2 linked regions of the Lonchura striata genome follow. The protein of the gene in region 1 purifies or fractionates together with the protein of each later gene. This does not show direct contact. Links are inferred from orthologs where the notes say so. Each region holds a gene or a part of one and is shown on either strand. Other genes may lie near its edges. The genes, in order: WDR20 and PHLPP2.

What was found.
Region 2: the proteins of WDR20 (region 1) and PHLPP2 purify together in Homo sapiens (affinity purification with mass spectrometry; 4 studies listed by BioGRID and IntAct, with this or other methods). This does not show direct contact. The link is inferred for Lonchura striata from reciprocal best matches to the Homo sapiens genes WDR20 and PHLPP2.

What each region holds. Positions count from the first base shown.
Region 1 is NC_134608.1:11,010,804-11,014,712, forward strand, and holds the start of WDR20 (WD repeat-containing protein 20), read right to left. Parts: upstream 3,037-3,909; 5' UTR 2,994-3,036; coding exon 2,745-2,993; intron 1-2,744. UniProt on the Homo sapiens protein: Regulator of deubiquitinating complexes. Activates deubiquitinating activity of complexes containing USP12. Anchors at the base of the ubiquitin-contacting loop of USP12 and remotely modulates the catalytic center of the enzyme.
Region 2 is NC_134615.1:23,822,556-23,826,464, reverse strand, and holds the start of PHLPP2 (PH domain leucine-rich repeat-containing protein phosphatase 2), read right to left. Parts: upstream 2,920-3,909; 5' UTR 2,903-2,919; coding exon 2,771-2,902; intron 2,559-2,770; coding exon 2,314-2,558; intron 1-2,313. UniProt on the Homo sapiens protein: Protein phosphatase involved in regulation of Akt and PKC signaling.

The sequences.
Region 1 (3,909 bases):
CACAAAGCATTTAAGGGAAACTAAAAGAAGAAAAATTAGCATTATTGATGTCACGAAATAGCCTTCCAAGTGGTATCTGTGACTCAATATTAGGTTATTTATTTTTCAGTGTCATTCGTGGCTTAAGTGTTGCTCTTCCTTAATGTGTACTGATCTGCAATGGATTACTGATGCAAGAATTATCTCAGTACCAAACAGACACAGCCACTTAAAATACAGTCCTCGTGGTTCTTTTGCTCATTTTAGGAAAAATGTAACATTTTCCTATCAAGAAAAGAGGTCTTAAAATAATCTTAAAAAAAAAAAGGAAAAAACAAGAAAAAAAAAAGACAAAATCACAGTTGATATATTCACACAGCACAGCGTCATTAAATTCAACTCAATATTCCAATATGACTTAGTCAGAATGAAAATCACGATCTTAAAAGTAATCAGGGAAAATTTTTAAGGAATACATAAATAATTATGAACTAACAGGTAAAACTGAAGTTATCAGCACCTGTATTACGCCAAGGAGCACAAATAGCTGGGTTTTAAACAGATCAAATCCCTTTCCCCATCCTCATCCCAGGAACAGGAAGGAACACAAAATGTGATAGTCTGCCCAGTTTAAGGCAGAATTACATCGTGTCCATTTAAGTAACAATAGCTCTCTCCCTTTTATGACAGCCACAAGATAGAACTTTTGATTCTGAAAAGTTCACACGATCAGTTGACAGGCTGTCAGCCTGTTCCTGATTCACTTTCATACACAGACAAAACAGTTACTTCCAACTGAAGTTCCAAAATAAATTCCAAAGCAGCAAGTATTGCAGATTTAAATCAGACCATCTTCTCATTCTCATTTAAAGCATTTTCCTTAAAGTGAGTCAATCTATTTCAGCTCTTTCTTTAGGTTCACTTTACCAAAGTATTATACATATAGAATATACAGTATTGTTTTACATAGTTAATACTGTAAAAGGTCATTGAGATTAATTCTGTCCTAACAATGTCTATGTTTCACTCTATTCAGAGAAAAAAGTATTTCACACTGTCACAGGTACAGATGCCTCCAGAGCTCATGAGTTCACAAACTCAAATTTCTCAGTTACTGCATACCATACCAGTAGCTTTTAGCATCTAAAAAATCTAAATACCAAATATCTAAATACCCAGTTCAAGAAGACTTTTGTAATTTGATATAACTATAATTATTCTATTCCTTATTGTCAACTAAGTTCCAGCCTTTAGATTTTTATTTGTCAGAAGTGTGGCAAGAGATGACTAAGAGAACTTGCAAGAATCACATGTACCATTACTAAACTACATAAAGGCCTGCTCTGTGAGCTCAGAGAACTCTGCAGCTACTTTGCATGGAAAAAACAAACAGCAGGACCCAAACATGGCAACAATTTAGGATGTAGATTTTCAGAGATACTGCTCCTCAGGATACCTTGTAAAGACAGCAACTGGTTGTAAGTAGGGAATACTGTTTGATACTAAATACTCCTTGTATCCTTAAAGAAGCCATTGTCCAAGCATTATTTGAAACATACCTAGATTATTAAAATTCATTAAAAGGTGAAACTAAATACACACACACACTTTCACATATAATTATACAAGACATATCAGATCTGTTAGGTCACAGTCTAACAAACAACCATGTAGACTTTAAACTCCTGCTGCTGCCGACATTTTATAGAAAGGAGGAGTGCTGGGGGCACTCCCCTAGGACACAGCAGATTCAGGTATAATCCCTTGCTCATCCACGAGCTTCCTGCACAGCCTCGTGTGAGTCTCTAGCTCTCCGTGCCCTCATCCCATGCTGAATGGTGAGCTAAAAGCAGGAAGATTTCAAGGCGATCACATGATGGCAACTGAGACCCAAGCATGTAAAATAACGAACACCCACTATCTGAGACAAAGCAGAAAACTGACATTCATTATATATGTGTTTATATCTATTAGGAGTGACGTGGGTTCACCTAGCACAGCAAATTCCGAATTGTTCTCTCAATCCTGTTTGAGAGAAGGGTTTGTTCATAAATATGGTGACCTGAGAGATCAAATGCATGCACTGTACTGCATCCAATAATGACAAGCAAGAAGTGTCTCTCTCAAGTACATCAATCTTTTTATCCTGCAAAAGCAACTTTCTCTCTGTCAATTATCTGATATTTAAGACTCATCTCACTACACCACTCCCATTTAGGAATAATTCTAAAACCAACCCACACTTCTAAGTCATAACAAAGGCCTAAAACTGCACCGAATGCTTCAGACGTGCAGCCAAAGCTAGGAAGAGCCTGGAAGCAGGGATTTGACACCACCATAATCACGACAGGCATTAGCGTGTCCAGCAAATTCTGACCTGAAGCAGCAGGTGACGGAGGCCGAGGGAGGGAAAGCCAACCCTGATTCCCGCACGAGGAGCGCCCAAGCGATCGCATCCCTGCACAGGGCCCACACACACGGCTCCCGTCGGTGACACCGTATGTGGAGCAGCCCCGAGCACCGGCCCGCCGCCGATGCCCTCACACCGCCCTCGCCGCAGGCCCGCTCTCCCCCGCCCAGCCGCCAGCTGGCTGAGCGGAGCTCGGCCGGAGCCGAGGAGCCGCCGGCCCCGCGGGGAGTGGGGACAGCGAGCGAGGCGCAGCCCGGCCCCGCGCCCCCGCCCCCGGCGCGGCCCGCACCCCGGCGGGCGGGCGGCGCGGAGCCCCGCCGCTCCCCGCCCCAGCCCGGCGGGGGAGCCCCGGTACCTTGCGGACCCCCTTGTAGATGTAGAAGTAGAGCTCCCGGCCCACATTGAAGCAGAGCCGGTCCCCGTTGCCGCTCTGGTCGTTGACGTTGACGAAGGAGACGCGGACGGGGTTGGAGCCCTGCGAGTTGAAGGGCACGCGGTTAGGCCGGCTGTACTCCGAGTGGCTCAGCAGCTTGTACAGCCCCTCCCGGGTGGTGAACTGGGTCTTAATCTCGTTCATCTCCTTCCCACCTCCCTCCGCCGCCATCTTGGAAAGGAGCGCTCATCCTGCCCCAGTGCCCGGATGTGCCGACACTGCGCAGCCGCCGGCGCGCGCGCGGCCCCTGCGCGCGGGGGCGACGCGAGGAGGCGGGGCCGGCGGGGCCTGTTTACCGCGCGACTGCGCGCGCGCCGGGCCCGCGCGCCGGGGGCGGGGAAAGGGGCGGGGGCTGTGAGTGGGCGGGGCCTCGGGCGGGAGCGGCGGCGTGCCCGAGGGGCCCGGCGGGGGACACCGCGCACAGCCCCCTGCACAGCCTTCCTGCACAGCCCCCTGCACAGCCTTCCTGCCCCAGCCCCCTGCACAGCCCCCTGCACAGCCTTCCTGCCCCAGCCCCCTGCACAGCCCCCTGCACAGCCTTCCTGCCCCAGCCCCCTGCACAGCCTTCCTGCCCCAGCCCCCTGCACAGCCCCTGCCCCAGCCCCCCTGCACAGCCCCCTGCACAGCCCCCCTGCACAGCCCCCTGCACAGCCTTCCTGCCCCAGCCCCCTGCACAGCCTTCCTGCCCCAGCCCCCTGCACAGCCCCCCTGCCCCAGCCTCCCTGCACAGCCCCCTGCACAGCCCTCCTGCACAGCCTTCCTGCCCCAGCCCCCTGCACAGCCCCCTGCACAGCCCCCTGCACAGCCCTCCTGCACAGCCTTCCTGCTCCAGCCTCCCTGCACAGCCCCCTGCACAGCCCCCCTGCACAGCCCCCCTGCACAGCCCCCCTGCACAGCCTTCCTGCCCCAGCCCCCTGCACAGCCCCCTGCACAGCCTCCCTGCACAGCCCCCTGCACAGCCTTCCTGCCCCAGCCCCCTGCACAGCCCTCCTGCCCCAGCCCCCTGCACAGCCCCCTGCACAGCCCTCCTGCCCCAGCCTCCCTGCACAGCCCCCCTGCACAGCCCCCTGCACAGCCCCCCTGCCCC
Region 2 (3,909 bases), on another chromosome or scaffold:
ATACTTCCTCTGCTCACAGAAGCTCTCTGGAGCACAGGCGCAAAGCCTTAAGGAGACAGAAAAGACAAAGAGAAGGAGCAACAGTTTCAGTTTCATTCTTGTTGTAACTGTAGCTCTCCATAAGTAAGGGTCAAGTTTTCAAATCTTGGAAGCTTAAATTTTTGTTGTAAGTGGTATTCAGAGCAAAGAAGGTAGCTGTGCAATTCTTGTCTAACCCTTCCCTCAGGAAGATACAACTTCTGGATATGAAGGGATACAAGCATAAAGAAAGATTCTGCCTAGCAGAAAGTTAAAGATCCATGAGGTGCATTGTGGAGAAAAAGTTCTTACAGAAACTGACTTGAAGTCAGAAACTTAATTGAAAAGGAAACAGAATGATCACAAGCATATTGTTGAATATTTAGACTGAATACATAAAAGAGCTTATGCTATTCTTCCATACAGCTTTCAGTCTTCCAAGTCAGGTTTCAAACTAATGTCTGCCATGCTCTGGAAAGAAAGTCACCTGCTGATATTAAAAGGGCGAAGAATTCAGAAGCTGTCTGAGAGAGGCACGTAGTTATGGTAATATGTGATCAGATATTTAACAAAGTAATTTGTATAGTGAGCATATTATTAAAGTAATTGGTAAAGTTTGTTTGAGGAAGGAATTATCTCAATAGGGCATGAGGATAATCTTGAGCACTCTATCATCTTCCCATGGACATACAAGTAGATACCACTCTGGCCTGCTTCCTGCTACTAACACAGGTGTTACTGAAGCAATACTGGTAACTCCCACTTCTCTACCAAGAAAAACTCCAGTGGGAAGTATTTCAAGGATCTCTTCTGTGACAAACACACTCTGAAAATTACCAGGAACAGACACATCATAACCAAGAACTCTTCACAAAACTTATGAAAAATATTGGCCAAGTCCTAAACATACCAAGAGGCAAAAGGAGTGGGAAGTAATAATTTACAGCTCAGTACTTGCTTCCAAAAGGCTAACAGAAGATCCAATTTGCTAATCTAGTGCAAAATCTACCACAAATCAAAGACAGGCACAGCTAGCTAGCATAAGAAAAGAGAGGTTGAAAAGAATTCAAATGCAAAAGCCACTTCAAAAGCTAAATAAAGTCAAAATGTATCTCTCTGAAAACATCTACAAGCTTTACCTAATTTTTTCATGATCTGCACAAATGGCTCTGCTCTTCCTTAAAAATTGCTGGAAAATCTGCTCGCTATTAGGGTCCAAAATATGCCAACTCCCTTACAAATTTTTCAAGCAACAGAGGTTTTCAGCTGCCTCAGTGGCAGTGTTCAAGTGTCCATCTGTTCTCATACAGTGTTTCTAACTAATCCATCCCTAATTCCTGTAACCCTGACCAGGGTAAAGCAAATGGTTGTAAATAATCTTTTCTAAGAGTCAGTTTTGAACACGTCCTGTTCTCTCTGCATCTCCCACCACTAGCATTACCACCCCACTGCAGAGCAAACATACATCACAGTTTTAAGATTTGGACACATGAGACCTGTAACCTTCATTTCACTATCCAAAATCCAGCTACTACCTCTGTCCAACCTTTAAGTAAGGAGACTGCAGCAATCATTTGCCTCTGAGAACAGGAGTGGCAATTTTATAACTGCATCTTAAGTCTGGAAGAATCAGTGCAAAGTTTAAATCCTAACAAACTGAATGGGAGCTTCTAAACCAAGATGAGTCCATAACACAGTCACAGCACAAAGTTCGCACACATACAACCCTGAGCCATCTATTTTCAGCCTAAATTGACTTCCGGCATAAAACGTAGCATCTGATGCTTAAACCTTCTTTATATAACCCTTGCTACAATTTCTATCTGCCTTTAATTACTTAGCTGACAACTCTTCTCAGCAAAAAAAAAATTACTCACATGTAAATATGAAATGACATAATTGCGAAAGCACCTTACTGCTTTTGCTGACTCAAAGTAACTGTTTACAGCCTCTTAAATAGATGAGGTTGTCCAGATGCTAAAATCCCCATAACACAGAACATACTAAAGAAATATATGAACAGGTGCCTCTACTCAGAAAATGAGGACATATTTCTGGTTGGAGCAATAGCCAAACTCTCCCTGTTAAAACACATAACTACGAGGTGTGTAACTTCTATTTCACCACTACCTAATTTTTATGAAGTGCATGACTTAAGGCTGTACCTGACTGCCAGCTACTACCTCTACCTGCTCCCTACCCACCCTCACAACAGGCATAGGGACATGGTGAACAGAGGCTCGCAAAACTATACAAAACATTTTGTAGTCAGGTTTATCCTTTCTCAGCCCTCACCTGACCAGGTCTCCATGAAGCTGCAAAAAGAGGTTTTTCCTCCCTTCTCTGTCACAGATCTCCGCGGCTTGGGTGTCCACTGTGCAGAGGACCAGGTGCAAGTCCGAAGGAGCCGCAGCTGCTGAGTCTCTCCCATAAACATACACGCAGCCTCGTCGAACATCCCCTTTCAGCCAGGTCCTCTCACGGGAACCAACCCGACTGCTGCTCTGGCAGCTCCTGCTCCCGGTGCGCTTGGCGTTCCTCTGCAAGGCAGCCCAGACCTGAGCGTCAGCAGCGCCTGCGGCCGCTCCGACCCGGCCCGCACCGGCCCGCTCCGCAACTCCGCACAAGCGGCAGCCACTGGCATGGGAAAGACCACGGTCGCAGCGGGCAAGTGTGCCCGACGTGCCGCAGCCGACTCCCACTCCCCCCACCGAGCCGCCCGGAGCGGGGGAGGCCTCGGTCTCCTCCTCACCTTCAGCACCCGGATGCCGCCGCGGGATCCGGCCCGGCACCCTCGTGTGGCGCCCGGCGCGGCCGCCTCGTCCTCCTCGGGCTCCTGCGCAGCCCTGGGCCCCAGCCCGGCACCCGGCCCGGCCTCCCCCATCACCGGCCAGGCCGGCACCCCGGGCCTCCGCGGCCCGCCCCGGAAGCGCGCGGCCCGTCCGGCGCAGGCCCCGCCCCGGCGGCACCGGCGGGGCAGCGAGCACCGGGCCCGTGTCCGCGTCTTGCACCAGCGGGCGGTACGAGTGTGAGCCGCTCGCCAGCCGGGCGAGGAGAAGGCAAAGCTCACGCGAACGCTGCAAACGCACCTGTCGCCGCTCGCCCTCCGCACAGCTCCAGCGTGTGTCACCATCGGCACCCCGCAGCTGAGGTACGCTGCTCAGCAGCCGAACAGCACCGTGCTCCTGCTGCCCTGCAGGTCCATCTCCTAAGCTCTGCCAGTCTTAACTAGTGTCTGCTACTAATAATGTCATTAACTACTAGTGACGTCATCATCTACCAATGACATCATCATGACAGTTTGCAAGAATTTGAGCATGTTTTAGGGCAGCCACTGCTTCTCCCTCAAGGATCAAGAACATTAAAAAAAGCCTCCCACCTTCCCCGCAGTGAAATTACACGTTTGAAAAGACGTGAAAGGTCATCTAGTGAAATGTGACTGTGACTAAAACACAAAGCAGACACATGTGGTGAGAGAGATATGGTGACAATCCTTGTCCAAGAGTCACATGGAGTATGAAAGGGGTCTTTTAACAAGCTCCTAGAGCAGGCTCCAAACACATTACTTGTGTTCAGATCCCACCATGCCTTTCTAGCACCTGGACAAACATTGCTGCTTGTAACTAACATGCTCTCTCTCAGGATGGTATTCCACAGGAACTACTCAAGTGTTTTGCAACTGTCCACTCATCTTAGTCTCCAAAATTTCCTGTAAAGTTTTTTCAAAACATGGCCATGTTATTTTGCATCATCTCACATTGCCATGGCCAAACATTAAGAATCAAAACATTTTATCCCACTGTATTGGCAGAAAGCAACAAGGCGATTTTAAATCATTGAATATCGTCTCATTTTATTAGTCACTTCATAATTTGTTTCAACCAAAAGACA